2 linked regions of the Sus scrofa genome follow. The protein of the gene in region 1 purifies or fractionates together with the protein of each later gene. This does not show direct contact. Links are inferred from orthologs where the notes say so. Each region holds a gene or a part of one and is shown on either strand. Other genes may lie near its edges.

Region 1 (6,391 bases):
TTGGCATTGCTGTGGCTGTAGTGTAGGCTGGCAGCTGTAGCTCAGATTTGAATCCTAGCCTGGAAACCTCCATATGCCCTGGGTGCGGCCCTAAAAAGCAAAAAAAAAAAAAAAAAAGAGGGGAGGCAGGAAGGAAGGGCAGCAAGGGGACTGAGCCAGGCAAGAAGCAGATTTACTCTGCCCTAAAAGGCCTTTCCTTACTTCTACTCCTGCCCCAGTCCAGCCACCCCACCCCCAACCCCCACCCACAGGACCAGCCAACAGCCTCCAGGGAGATCAGCTGCAGAGGATCTGATAGCTTAAAAAAAAAAAAAACAAAACAAAATGCACAGAGAACAGCCCAAGGGCAGGGACTGTCCCACTTCCATCTTGCTCCAGGAACCCTTCTGAAATTAACTGCCTCAAGTGACTCCCTTCCCAGGCCCACCCACACCTCATTCCCAGCCTATTCTCCTTCCCTGGCTAGAGCTTCTTCCTACAGATTCCATCTTCCCTTCCTAATAATTGGGGATTAGCCGGTCTGGCCCAACCCCACAAAAAGTCTTATTTTTCTTTCATTTTTCTTTTTTGGCTTTTTAGGGTTGCACCACGGTACATGGAGGGTTCCAGGCTAGGGGTCAAATTGGAGCTACAGCTGCCAGCCTACACCACAGCCACGCTGTTTCCAAGCCACGTCTGCGACCTACACCACAGCTCACAGCAACGCAGGATCCTTAACCCACCGAGCGAGGCCAGGGATGGAACCTGCAACCTCATGGTTACTAGCAGTATTCATTTCCTCTGCACCAGGACGGGTACTCCCCCACAAAGTTCTGATAGATTTCCTCACCAACCCAGCCCTTTTCCCTCATCTCCAAAGTCAGTTTCTGTCCCCTTTCAACAGCAGCCAAAATCCACTCTGCCCTCGTCATGGGCACATCCAGTCCTTGGCACTCTTCTGTGTTCTTCACAACAATCTGTTGTTAGCATTTTACTGGCTGGCGGGGGTGGGAGTGGGGGGGATTAGGTCCAGAGAGAAGCAGTCCCTTGCCCAAAGCTAAAAAACTAGAAAACAGCAGATCAGGGATATTGGTCCCACATGGTCTAGCTTCAGAGCACACCTTCTTAACTACTTACATGTGAAAACAATCCACAGCTCTTCTGCAGCCCACTGCCTCTCTTCCCCTTAAGAGGGGCTCCCAATTAGATTTCTGCTGTGAAAGCTCTCATCAACCTAAAGGAAGGCTGACCCTGCGACAAGAAATGAGGCATTTCTTACGTGTTCCTAAGCAATGTGGACAAGTGCTCTGTCTGGACCTCTCTCCCTCCTCGTCCACCCTCATTAGCTGAACAAATACTTACTAATCATCTCCTTTGTAATGATCAAGACAGACAAGGTCAACAGCCAGGTACTGCATCAGGGGACCCAGGATCAAACGACTTTTTTACACGATTCATTTTAAAATCAGAGCAGGAGTTCCTGTTGTGGTTCAGTGGGTTAGGAACCGGTCATAGTGTCCATGAGGATGCAGGTTCCACTCCTGGCCCCGCTCACTGGGTTAAGAATCTGGCGTTGGCCCCCAGCTGCGGTTCCCATTCCACCCCTAGCCTGGGAACTTCCATATGCTGCAGATGCCCCAATAAAAAGTAAAAAAACAAACTAAAAAAAACCAGAGTTGAAGCAAAAAGGCACTATAAAAGCCTGTGCTGGGGTATCTGCTCTCTCTTCTCTTCTTGGAAGGGGGAGTCTTTCCCAAGAAGAAAATCTTTCCTTTGTAAACGCAATTTCACTCTCCAACCCCTGAGGAGAAAGGTCACACTTTCCCCCCATGTCCTCCAAGAGGCCTCCCCGGGGCATTGGTGGCAACTAATAAGAAACGCCCTCCCTCACTTTCTCCACGTTGTCTTCCTCCCTGAGGGTCCACAAAGAAGCTGTCCCGCTTTGCCTCTCCTAAGGAAGTGAAACTTCTTCCCTTGAGGGTCCGCTACAAGATGTTTCTGCAGCCCTTCTCCCTTCAACCGCCCTCCATGTACTCCCTACAGGGACGCCACACTCTGAAGAAGGAGTTAACATTTCTATACCTTCTCGGGTACCTCCCCAGTACTCACAGATCTAGCCAGACCCCGAGCCCCAAGCCGCCGCAGAAGCAGGAGGCCAGCCTGGCCCAAGCCTTGACTGCGCTCCCAAACCCTCGCCACAGCCACCGCCAACGCCATCTTGACCATTAATACCTCAGAGTAGCGTCCCCCTCCTTGGCGAGACTGGGGCTGCCCCTTCAGGAGCCTGACTCAAATACCAGGATCGCTCTGCCAAGAAACCACCTGCTACTAATCCTGCGGTCTTTAGGACACATATATAGGTGGGTAAAATAATCCAGATTTCCCCAAATTACTCCGATCGCTTCACCGGAGTTATTCCTCTTAACAGGCAAAGCAGAGGGCAACTGAGCTCGGCTTCAGGGTTTCAGGGCCCCGGGGCCTCGGGTAGGACGAGCTCATGCCAAGGCCCGCCCTCTCTTCCCTTCTGTCCAATGGCTTTCCTGGACTCTCTAGGCGGGAGTAGGAGGGACCAGATTGTTAGTAAACGCAGAGACACGTGCGGGCGCGGATCCCGGAGGGCCCCGCACCCAAGTTGGCGCTTGCTCATTGGGTACGCAGTCTGTACGCAAGCGCGCGCTTCTGGGCGGAAGCGACAGTCCCTGCTGCACGTGGGCTCCCCGGCGATGGAGGAGTCGATGCAGACTGAAACCAAGGTACGCCCCGAGTCTGGAGCAGAGTCTGGCCCTCGGAGCCCCAGCTGTACTCTCCGGCACTTTGCCTGCGAACAAAACTTGTTGTCCCGGCCCGATGGCTCTGCCTCTTTCCTGCAAGGTAAGAATTTACCCACGTCGTATTTGTTCTCGTGGGCGGGTACAGTGTATTGTGTTAGCTGGTAAATATCTTCTTGGACTGATGCAGTTCTTGCCGGAGTGAATGGTACTGCATATGCCAGTAGACAAATAGAAGGGTGAAGATACCTCCACTCTGGTAAATATGCCTCAGGATGAGAGAGGGGCAGACCTTCTCTTAAGAACGAATACTCCAGGGACTTCCCTTCGTGGCTCAGCAGTTAAGGAACCCGACTAGGATCCATGAGGATGAGGGTTCGATCCCTGGCCTCCCTTAGCGGGTTAAGGATCCGGCGTTGCTGTGAGCTGTGGTGTAGGTCGCAGACACAGCTCGGATCTGGGGTTTCTGTGGTTGTGGTGTAGGCTGGCAGTTGTAGCTCTGATTAGATCCCTAGCCTGGGAACTTCCATGTGAGGCCTGAGAGAGCAAAAAAAAAAAAAAAAAAAAAAAAGAACGAATACTCCAGAATAGGGGAAATCTCACCGTGTAAAAAAAGTCCTCCTTGACTAGGTTCCTCCCACACATGCACTCTGGATTCATCTATCCCTGGTTGAGGCAAACCTGTTCTTTTGCGTAAATACCTCGTAGACTGGCAAATCACCACTACTGATTTTTTTTTGTTTGTTTTTCTTTTTTCTTTTTTTTGCTTTTTAGGACCGCACTTGCAACATATGGAGGTTCCCAGGCTAGGGGTTCAAATGAAGCTGTAGCTGCTGGCCTACATCGCAGCCACAGCAATGCGAGATCTGAGCTGCATCTGCGGCCTACACCACAGCTCACGGCAACCCCAGATCCTTAACCCACCGAGCGGGGCCAGGGATTGAACCCATAGCCTCATGGATACTAGTTGGGTTCTTACCCGCTGAGCCAAAATGGGAATTTCGTTGTTTTATATATACGGAGTTGCCAGGCTGGGGATCACATCCAAGCCCCAACTGTGTCCTTCCTATGCCCTTAGAGTGGCAACGCTGGGCCAGGGTTCCTGCCAATTCCTTTGTGCCACAGCGGGAATTCCTGAACACATGTGTTTTTGCTAAGTACTGTTCTAAGCACTGAGAAATCATAGCTAAAAAGGTTTTTTGTGTTTTTTTAATTTCTTTTTTTATATTTTTTTCTGTTTTATATAAGTTTTTAAATTCCTGCCCTAGAAGAGTTTCCATTTCCATCAGAGAAACAAGTGATAACTAAGTAAAACTTAGTAAAAGGCTATGGAGGAAACTACCGCAGGAAGGAAGAATAGGGCGTGCCAGAGAGGGGTGCAGTCTCAAATGGGATGGTCAGGGAAGGCTTCGCTAAGATGGTACCATTTGAATAAAGATCTAAAGGTAAGGGAGCAAACCCTCAAGACAGTAAGAGAAAAGCATTGGGGACAAGGGTAAAGGCCCTGAGACAAAAACTTGCCTGGTGTGTTTGAGGAGCAGTCAGGAGAGCAAAGTGGCTGCAGCAGAGACAGGAGGTCAAAGAGAGGTACGGAGGACTGCCCTTCATGCAAGTTTCTTAGCACTTAAATACTGAGCCTCTTCCATGTTCTAAAACCCCAAAGCCCAGGACCCTGGAGCAGAGTCCCTCAAAGGCCCTCAGAAGTGTGTCTCACATGCTCCTGGCCTCAGAATCTCTACTGAGGTTAAGAATTCCGAGCCCCAGGAGTTCCCTGGTGACTCAGCAGGTTAAGGTTCCAGCATTGTTACTGCTGTGGCTCAGGTCCAAGCTGTGGCAAGGGTTTGATCTCTGGCCCAGGAATTCCATGTGCCGTGGGCACAGCCAAAAAAAAAAAAATGCTGAAGCCTCAGAACCCACCCACACCAGCTAAGTCTGGCCCTCTACACTTTTTAATCCACTACAGCGGCAATTCTGATTGCAGGCCAGCGTTTTGAAGCTGTGCACCAGCTCCGTGTCCTCCCACTGCAGGTTGCAATCCCCGCTGCACATTAGAATGGCCTGTGGAGCTCACAGGCTGCCGGTGCCTGAGCGCCAGCCCTCAGCAATGGTATTAGGCTCTCTGAGGGGAGGGGCCTGTGCATCAGTGTCTTTTAAAGCTCTGCAGTGAGTCCAATGTGCATTCGTTAGTGATTCTTTTTTTTTTGCTTTTTGTGGCTGGGCCTGCGGCATATGGAAGTTCCAGGCTAGGGGCTGAATCGGAGCTACAACTGTTGGCCTACGCCACAGCCACAGCCACATTGGATCCTTAACCCACTGAGCAAGGCTAGGGATCGAACCCACATCCTCATGAATATTAGTTGAGTTCTTTAACCTCTGAGCTGCAGAGGGAACTCCCTGAAAAAAAATTTTTTTTTTTTGTCTTTTTTGCTATTTCTTGGGCCGCTCCTGCAACATATGGAGGTTCCCAGGCTAGGGGTTGAATCGGAGCTGTAGACACTAGCCTACGCCAGAGCCACAGCAACGCGGGATCCAAGCCGCGTCTGCAACCTACACCACAGCTCACGGCAACGCCGGATCGTTAACCCACTGAGCAAAGGCAGGGACCGAACCCGCAACCTCATGGTTCCTAGTCGGATTCGTTAACCACTGCGCCACGACGGGAACTCCTGAAATATATTTCTTATTGGGGGTTATGGTCAGAAAAATTTGGAAGCTACTGTTTTAGTTCAGCCTCTTCATTTTTGCAGATGGTAAAACTGAGGCCCAGAGAAGTGAGCAAAATCAGCTGAGGTTACAGAGCCAGGAGGAAATGAGCAGGAGTTAGAACCCACCCCCACCCCCCAGGTATTTATTGGGTTCTCAGGTATCCTTACTGCTGCAGAGTTGAGAGCTGGGCTAGGGGAAGCTGTGGGAAGAGAAGTTGGGACCAGCAGCAGTAAGAGGGAGGGAGGTTAGTGCAGGAGGGACTTCCCGGTGAAGTTAATAACAGCTTAAGTCTGTTGAGCACTCAGCAGGGGTACCAGGCAGCTCCTGAGCCTTTTTCCTTTAAGTGGATCATCTCATTTAACCCTCAACAGCTGTGAGGGAGGAGGTATCGTTTGACGGATGGGGAAGTGGAGGCAGAGAAACGAAGCAAGTGCCCCAAGAGTCACTGTCAAGGAATGGTGGGCCAGAGCCGGGGTGACGTGGGGAAGCCCGGCCACCGGCTCTGTGCCCACACTGTTAAGTGCCGCGCGTTGGGCCCCGGAGGCGGGGGAGACGTGGGCAAGGCCTCCTGTGCTGTCTCCCCAGGGGATACCTCCGTCCTGGCAGGCGTGTATGGCCCAGCCGAGGTGAAGGTCCGCAAAGAGATCTTCAACAAGGCCACACTGGAGGTGATCCTGAGGCCTAAGATCGGGCTGCCGGGTAATTGGGCCTCTCGCCTGGGGTCTCCCTCACTGCGCTCCCCGCTCTCCCCTCCCCCCACCTGCTCCTCTGTCTGTCTCCAGCTATTTCTGTCTCTTTTCCCCAACAACATGCTTCCAAGTCTGTTTCTGTCCCTTCTCCGCCCCCCTCCCACCCCCCCATCGCCTCCACTTTCCCCTCATCTTCCGTGTGGCTCGTCTCTCCTTTCCATGTCTTTCCATCAACCTGTTTTTCTGCCC
Region 2 (5,671 bases), on another chromosome or scaffold:
TAAGGACCTAGCATTGTCACAGCTGTGGCTTGGGTCACTGTTATGGTGAGGGTTTGATTCCCTGCTGGTGACCTTCTGCATGCTGTGGGCGTGGCCAAAACAAATAGAATTGAAAAAGATGTATCCTGATATTGGAGGTCTGAAAAATGTTGATATTAGATGAAATATTTTGGACCATAAACTCCAAAGTTAGCAATAAGAAATGGTTTTATGTATGGTGTTTTGGAAAATTGATACTGTGCCAATTTTCTGCTGTACAGCGAAATGATCCAGTTGTACATATATACCTACATTCCCTTCCTTATATTATCTTCCATCATGGTCTATCCCAAGAGATTATATGTAGTTCCCTGTGCTATACCTCACTGCTTATCCATTCTGTATGTAATAGTTTGCATTTGGTGTTATGTATGTTTTAAAAGAGGTTAAAATAAATTCATTTTGGGAGTTCCCTGGTGGCCTAGCAGGTTAAGGATCTAGCATTGTCACTGCCCTGGCTCACGCTCGCTGCTGTGGTGTGGGTTTGATCCCTGGACTAGGAGCTTTTGTGCAGCCAAAAAAAATTCATTTTAGATTCCATTTCTTTAATAACTTTCATAACAAATGAATACATTTTTAAAAAATCTTTGCCTTTCTTCTCCCCATCCTATTACATATTCTCTGCCTTTATGATTCACTCTAGATGTTAATTGTTGTGACTGTTTGAAATAAGATGTTTCATTTTTTTAACCATAATATTCAGTAGTTGATCAAGATGAAAATCTGTATCCATAAATTTGTTTTTGTCTTTTTTTGCTTCTGTTCCAAACTTTACATCTGTCTATTGTTTAAAAATTAAACTTCCTTTTCCCTTCCTTGCCTTGTCTTAGATAAAATTGACTTAGAGGTTTGTTAGGTAATTAAATATGCTTGATTATGTTTATTAGATGTTTTTTGTGTATATATTAAAAGTATTATAAATGAAGCTAAACAGCAATTATGTCTTAAGTTTATTATTTAGGAGTTATATAGGGCTGATTGAACATTTACTGTTAACAGCTTTTCAGCCTTTATTCACATTACACAGACAAATGTTTTGTTTTGTTTTTTCCTTTTTTGGGGGGCTGCACCTGTGGCATATGGAAGTTCTAGGCTAGGGGTTGAATCGGAGCTGCAGCTGCTGGCCTATGCCACAGCCACAGCAATGCCAGATCCAAGCCACATCTGCAACCTATACTGTAGCTCACTACAATGCCAGATCCTTAACCCACTGAGTGAGGCCAGGGATTGAACCCCCATCCTCATGGGTATTAGTCGGATTTATTACTGCTGAGCCACAATGGGAACTCCCAATTTTTTTTAAAGATCAGACCTATAGTTGCTTTCATAAAATGTAACAGTGTCTATCTGAATACATGTATGATGAAAGGAATACTTGGTGAATATGAAAATATCCTTTGAAATACTCACTTCTGTGTATCAAATATATTTTTAAAAATGAGCTATTACTTTGTAATTTTTTTATTGTGATGGTGTTAGTCCACTAGTTTAGAAAAACAAACATTAATAAGAATTTTGTTATTTCCCAATTAGGATTCTCTTGATGAAAGATGAATCTGTTTTAAAGAATCTAGTACAGCAGGAAGCTAAGAAGAAAGAATCTGTTCGAAATGCTGAAACAAAAATTACGAAACTTACAGAGCAGCTTCAGGCAACAGAGAAAATTCTCAGTGTCAATAGAATGTTTTTGAAGAAGCTTCAGGAACAAGTAATGTTCTTTTTTAAAATTAAATATTGTAGTCTCATGTTTACTACACATTTTTATGGGCCAAATTTTTAATAAAACCATAAACCGAAACTATCAAAATACATAACCTATGTTTTGTTCTCTCTTGAAACGTGGTATTTTCGTATTTTAATTTTCAGTTGAATACCCTAAAGCTACTATGTTTGAGAAGATATTTCCTCTTCTAAGATTTACATTTTCAGAATTATCCAATATTTCAGATTCACAAAGTTCAGCAACGTGTTACAATTAAGAAAGCTTTAACTCTGAAATATGGAGAAGAACTTGCTCGGGCAAAAGCAGTGGCTAGTAAAGAAATAGGAAAACGTAAACTGGAACAAGATCGCTTTGGAGTAAGTTGTGTGTAGAAATATTTTATGTTTGAAAAGGAGAAGGTTTTAATAATACTTTTGAGGATAAGAGATATATAAAAAATTCAAGCTTTTTACTGCATATTCAAGGAAACTAAGGGTAAAGCTTTGTTTTTATATGACATCTACATTTTTAGAAATTTATTTTTAAAGTTACTTTGACTTTTTTTTAAAGTTTTTGTGTATCATAGATTAACTGGTAAATCTGTTGGGAAGCTTTTGTAAAACTATTTTATTTATCGATTTAGTTTTATTATGTTGTATTATAGGGATAGCCTAATTATCTTACCAAAAATCATTTATAAAATCATAACAATATAAAATACTGATACCATTTTTCCCTCCAGCCAAACAAAATGATGAGACTGGACAATTCTCCAATATCAAGTCCAAGAAAGCATTCAGCAGAATTAATTGCTATGGAAAAAAGACGATTACAAAAGCTAGAATATGAATATGCTCTGAAAATTCAGAAACTAAAAGAAGCCAGGGCCCTTAAAGCAAAGGAACAACAAAATATTGCTCCACTTGTGGAAGAGGAACCTGAATTTTCTTTACCTCAGCCCTCACTTCACGATCTGACTCAAGATAAATTAAGTCTGGACACAGAGGAAAATGATGTTGATGTTGAGATTTTGGCTGGATCAAACAGAGAACGAAGAAGATCATTCTTAGAATCCAATTCTTTCACTAAACCTAACCTCAAGCACACTGATACACCTAACAAAGAATGTATAAACAAACCTACCAAGAATACAGTAGAAAAACCAGAACTTTTTCTAGGATTAAAAATTGGTGAATTGCAGAAATTATATTCAAAAGCTGACAGCTTAAAACAACTGATTTTAAAAACTACCACAAGCATTACAGACAAGATTTTGCATGGTCAGGTAACTGAACATTTCAAATTATTTATGAAATCTAGACTTCACCCTAGCCATATTTGCCTTAAGAAATTACTATTTTCTTTTGCAGGAGATTTCCGTGGATGTGGATTTTGTGACAGCACAGAGTAAAGCAGCAGAAGTGAAGCCATGTCCGTTTAGACCCTACCATAGTCCCCTTCTAGTTTTTAAGTCGTACAGGTATAGAAGGAAGATTTAATAAGCTTGAGTTTCAGGGTTGCTTCTTGTTGTTAATGATATCCTAAGCTTGCATATTTGATGATAATGAAAATTGAATCATGGTCATGAAAAAAATGAACTTGTATAAATTACTGTCTTGTTTTCAGACTTGAACCAAAGAGGAAGTAAGGTTCACTTCACACCTGGTTTCATCAATTCTTATCAAATCTTAATTTCTAGCTACTGGTGGAATTGTGGAGAATTCTCAATTACTGTCTGTTAAAGATTTTAAGAAAAATAACTGAAGTCTTAGGAGAATTTTTAATTTTTTAAAATGTTTTACTATTACTCTAAGGAAAACATTGGCCAGCTTTCATAAACTTGATTTGATACTTTCAGATGATTACCTTAGTGAGAGGTTGCTTTTTTTTTTTTCTTTAAGACTTTTAGAAGCTGTTAGACTTAAATTGGTATGATTTTATAAAACTATTAAGCATCTACTATGTAGTGTAAACTTTTTCTCTAGTTTCTTGGTTGGCTGGTAATGTAAGAAATACCAGTGTTGGGAGTTCCCGTCATGGCTCAGTGGTTAATGAATCTGACTAGGAACCATGAGGTTGCGGGTTTGATCCCTGGCCTTGCTCAGTGGGTTAAGGATCTGACTTTGCCATGAGCTGTGGTGTAGGTCGTAGATGAGGCTCGGATCCCGCATTGCTGTGGCTCTGGTGTAGGCCAGCAGCTGCAGCTCCGATTGGACCCCTAGCCTGGGAACCTCCATATGCTGTGGGAGCGGCCCTAGAAAAGGCAAAAAGACAAAAAAAAAAAAAAAAAAAAAGACCAGTGTTTTATAGAGTTTTATCATGTGGTAAAAATTACTACTTTTAGAATACAGGATATTTTTGTTCTTTGTTTTCTGTTTCCTATATTTTATATCCTGGGTATAAAAGTATCATGTTCCTAGGACTTGATATTCTTGTTGTTTGTGAGACTTCATTTTGGTATCAGATAGTATTAGATTAATAATTAGATAAATAGTAAGCTCAAAGTATAGAAACTTTAACTGAGAAAGAAAAGATGAAAATTTCTTAAATTTTCTGAGGAATGTTTATAGAGCATCATAATGTGCCTGTCTGCCTCTTTTCTTCTTAGATTTAGTCCATACTATCGTACCAAGGAAAAACTTCCCCTAAGCTCAGTATCATACAGTAATATGATCGAACCAGATCAGTGTTTCTGCCGTTTTGATTTAACAGGAACGTGTAATGATGATGATTGTCAATGGTGAGTAGTTTTTATTTGTGAGCAGTTTGTAAATTAAAAGGTAGTCTTGGTTATTTGGCTTTGGTATATACATGATTATCTTTTCTGTGTTGTTATTTATTTTTAGGCAGCATACACAAGACTATACGCTTAGCCGAAAACAGCTCTTCCAGGACATTCTGTCATATAATCTGTCTTTGATTGGTTGTTCAGAGACAAGCACTGATGAAGAAATTGCTGCTGCAGCAGGTTCTTAAAGACCTCTTGTTTCTCAACTGAAAATTTGAATTTAGGCAATTTAAAAGCTTTATATTCAGTTGTTGACATCTTTAAAGAGCTATAATAATTCAATACATTCATCTTTGACACTTTATCTAGGTCTGCTCTATCCACTACAGTAGTCACTAGCTATATGTTGCTATTTAAATCTAAGTTAATTAAAATAAAAATTTATTTCATCAGTTACACTAGCCACATTTCAAATGCTCAGTAGCCACTGTTGAGGTCAGTGTTGGTAAGTACTTACCAATAAGACAGTGCATATATATAAGACATCCATCATTGCAGAAAGTTCTTTTGATGGTGCTCATCTAAATATTTCAGTTTATTTAGCAGTGTATATCACATGGTTGTATAGAAATTTTACTGATATTTTAAAAATAAACCCTATTTATTGTTTTTGAAAATAGAGGGGTGTTGGAAGTTGAGACGACTGTAGACTGTAGTTTCAAATCCTACAATGAAGTATAAAAAGACCTTTTTTTTTTTTCCAGTCTTTTTGTCTTTTTAGGGCCGCACCCGATGCATATGGAGGTTCCCAGGCTAGAGGTCTGATCGGAGCTGTAGCTGTCAACCTATGCCACAGCCACGGCAATGCCAGATCCAAGCCGCATCTGCGACCTACACCACAGCTCACGGCAATGCTGGATCCTCAACCCACTGACTGAGCAAGGCCAGGGATTGAACAGGCAACCTAATGGTTCCTAATTGGATTCGTTTCCTTTGTGCCATGATGGGAACTCCCTAAAAGTACTTTGTACACTTTTTTTTTTTTTTTAATTTTTTTAATTGTTATTTCCCTAATACAATTTTTTTTCCTACTGTATAGCATGGTGACCCAGTTACACATACATGTATACATTCTTTTTTCTCACATTATTGGTGTTTGTTAAATTCAGTATTGTGATGACTCAGAGTGATTGTAACATCAC

The links. Proteins that work in one complex are often made in the same cells at the same time.
Region 2: the proteins of EXOSC5 (region 1) and ZFC3H1 purify together in Homo sapiens (affinity purification with mass spectrometry; 3 studies listed by BioGRID and IntAct, with this or other methods). This does not show direct contact. The link is inferred for Sus scrofa from reciprocal best matches to the Homo sapiens genes EXOSC5 and ZFC3H1.

Annotation. Positions count from the first base shown.
Region 1 is NC_010448.4:49,378,015-49,384,405, reverse strand, and holds the start of EXOSC5 (exosome complex component RRP46), read left to right. Parts: upstream 1-2,658; 5' UTR 2,659-2,702; coding exon 2,703-2,850; intron 2,851-6,016; coding exon of another isoform or gene 6,017-6,038; coding exon 6,039-6,152; intron 6,153-6,391. Other genes in the region: BCKDHA (2-oxoisovalerate dehydrogenase subunit alpha, mitochondrial), read right to left, coding at 2,089-2,205. UniProt on the Homo sapiens protein: Non-catalytic component of the RNA exosome complex which has 3'->5' exoribonuclease activity and participates in a multitude of cellular RNA processing and degradation events.
Region 2 is NC_010447.5:35,639,527-35,645,197, reverse strand, and holds part of ZFC3H1 (zinc finger C3H1 domain-containing protein), read left to right. Parts: intron 1-1,572; coding exon 1,573-1,747; intron 1,748-1,986; coding exon 1,987-2,118; intron 2,119-2,483; coding exon 2,484-3,026; intron 3,027-3,111; coding exon 3,112-3,221; intron 3,222-4,349; coding exon 4,350-4,481; intron 4,482-4,587; coding exon 4,588-4,709; intron 4,710-5,671. UniProt on the Homo sapiens protein: Subunit of the trimeric poly(A) tail exosome targeting (PAXT) complex, a complex that directs a subset of long and polyadenylated poly(A) RNAs for exosomal degradation. The RNA exosome is fundamental for the degradation of RNA in eukaryotic nuclei.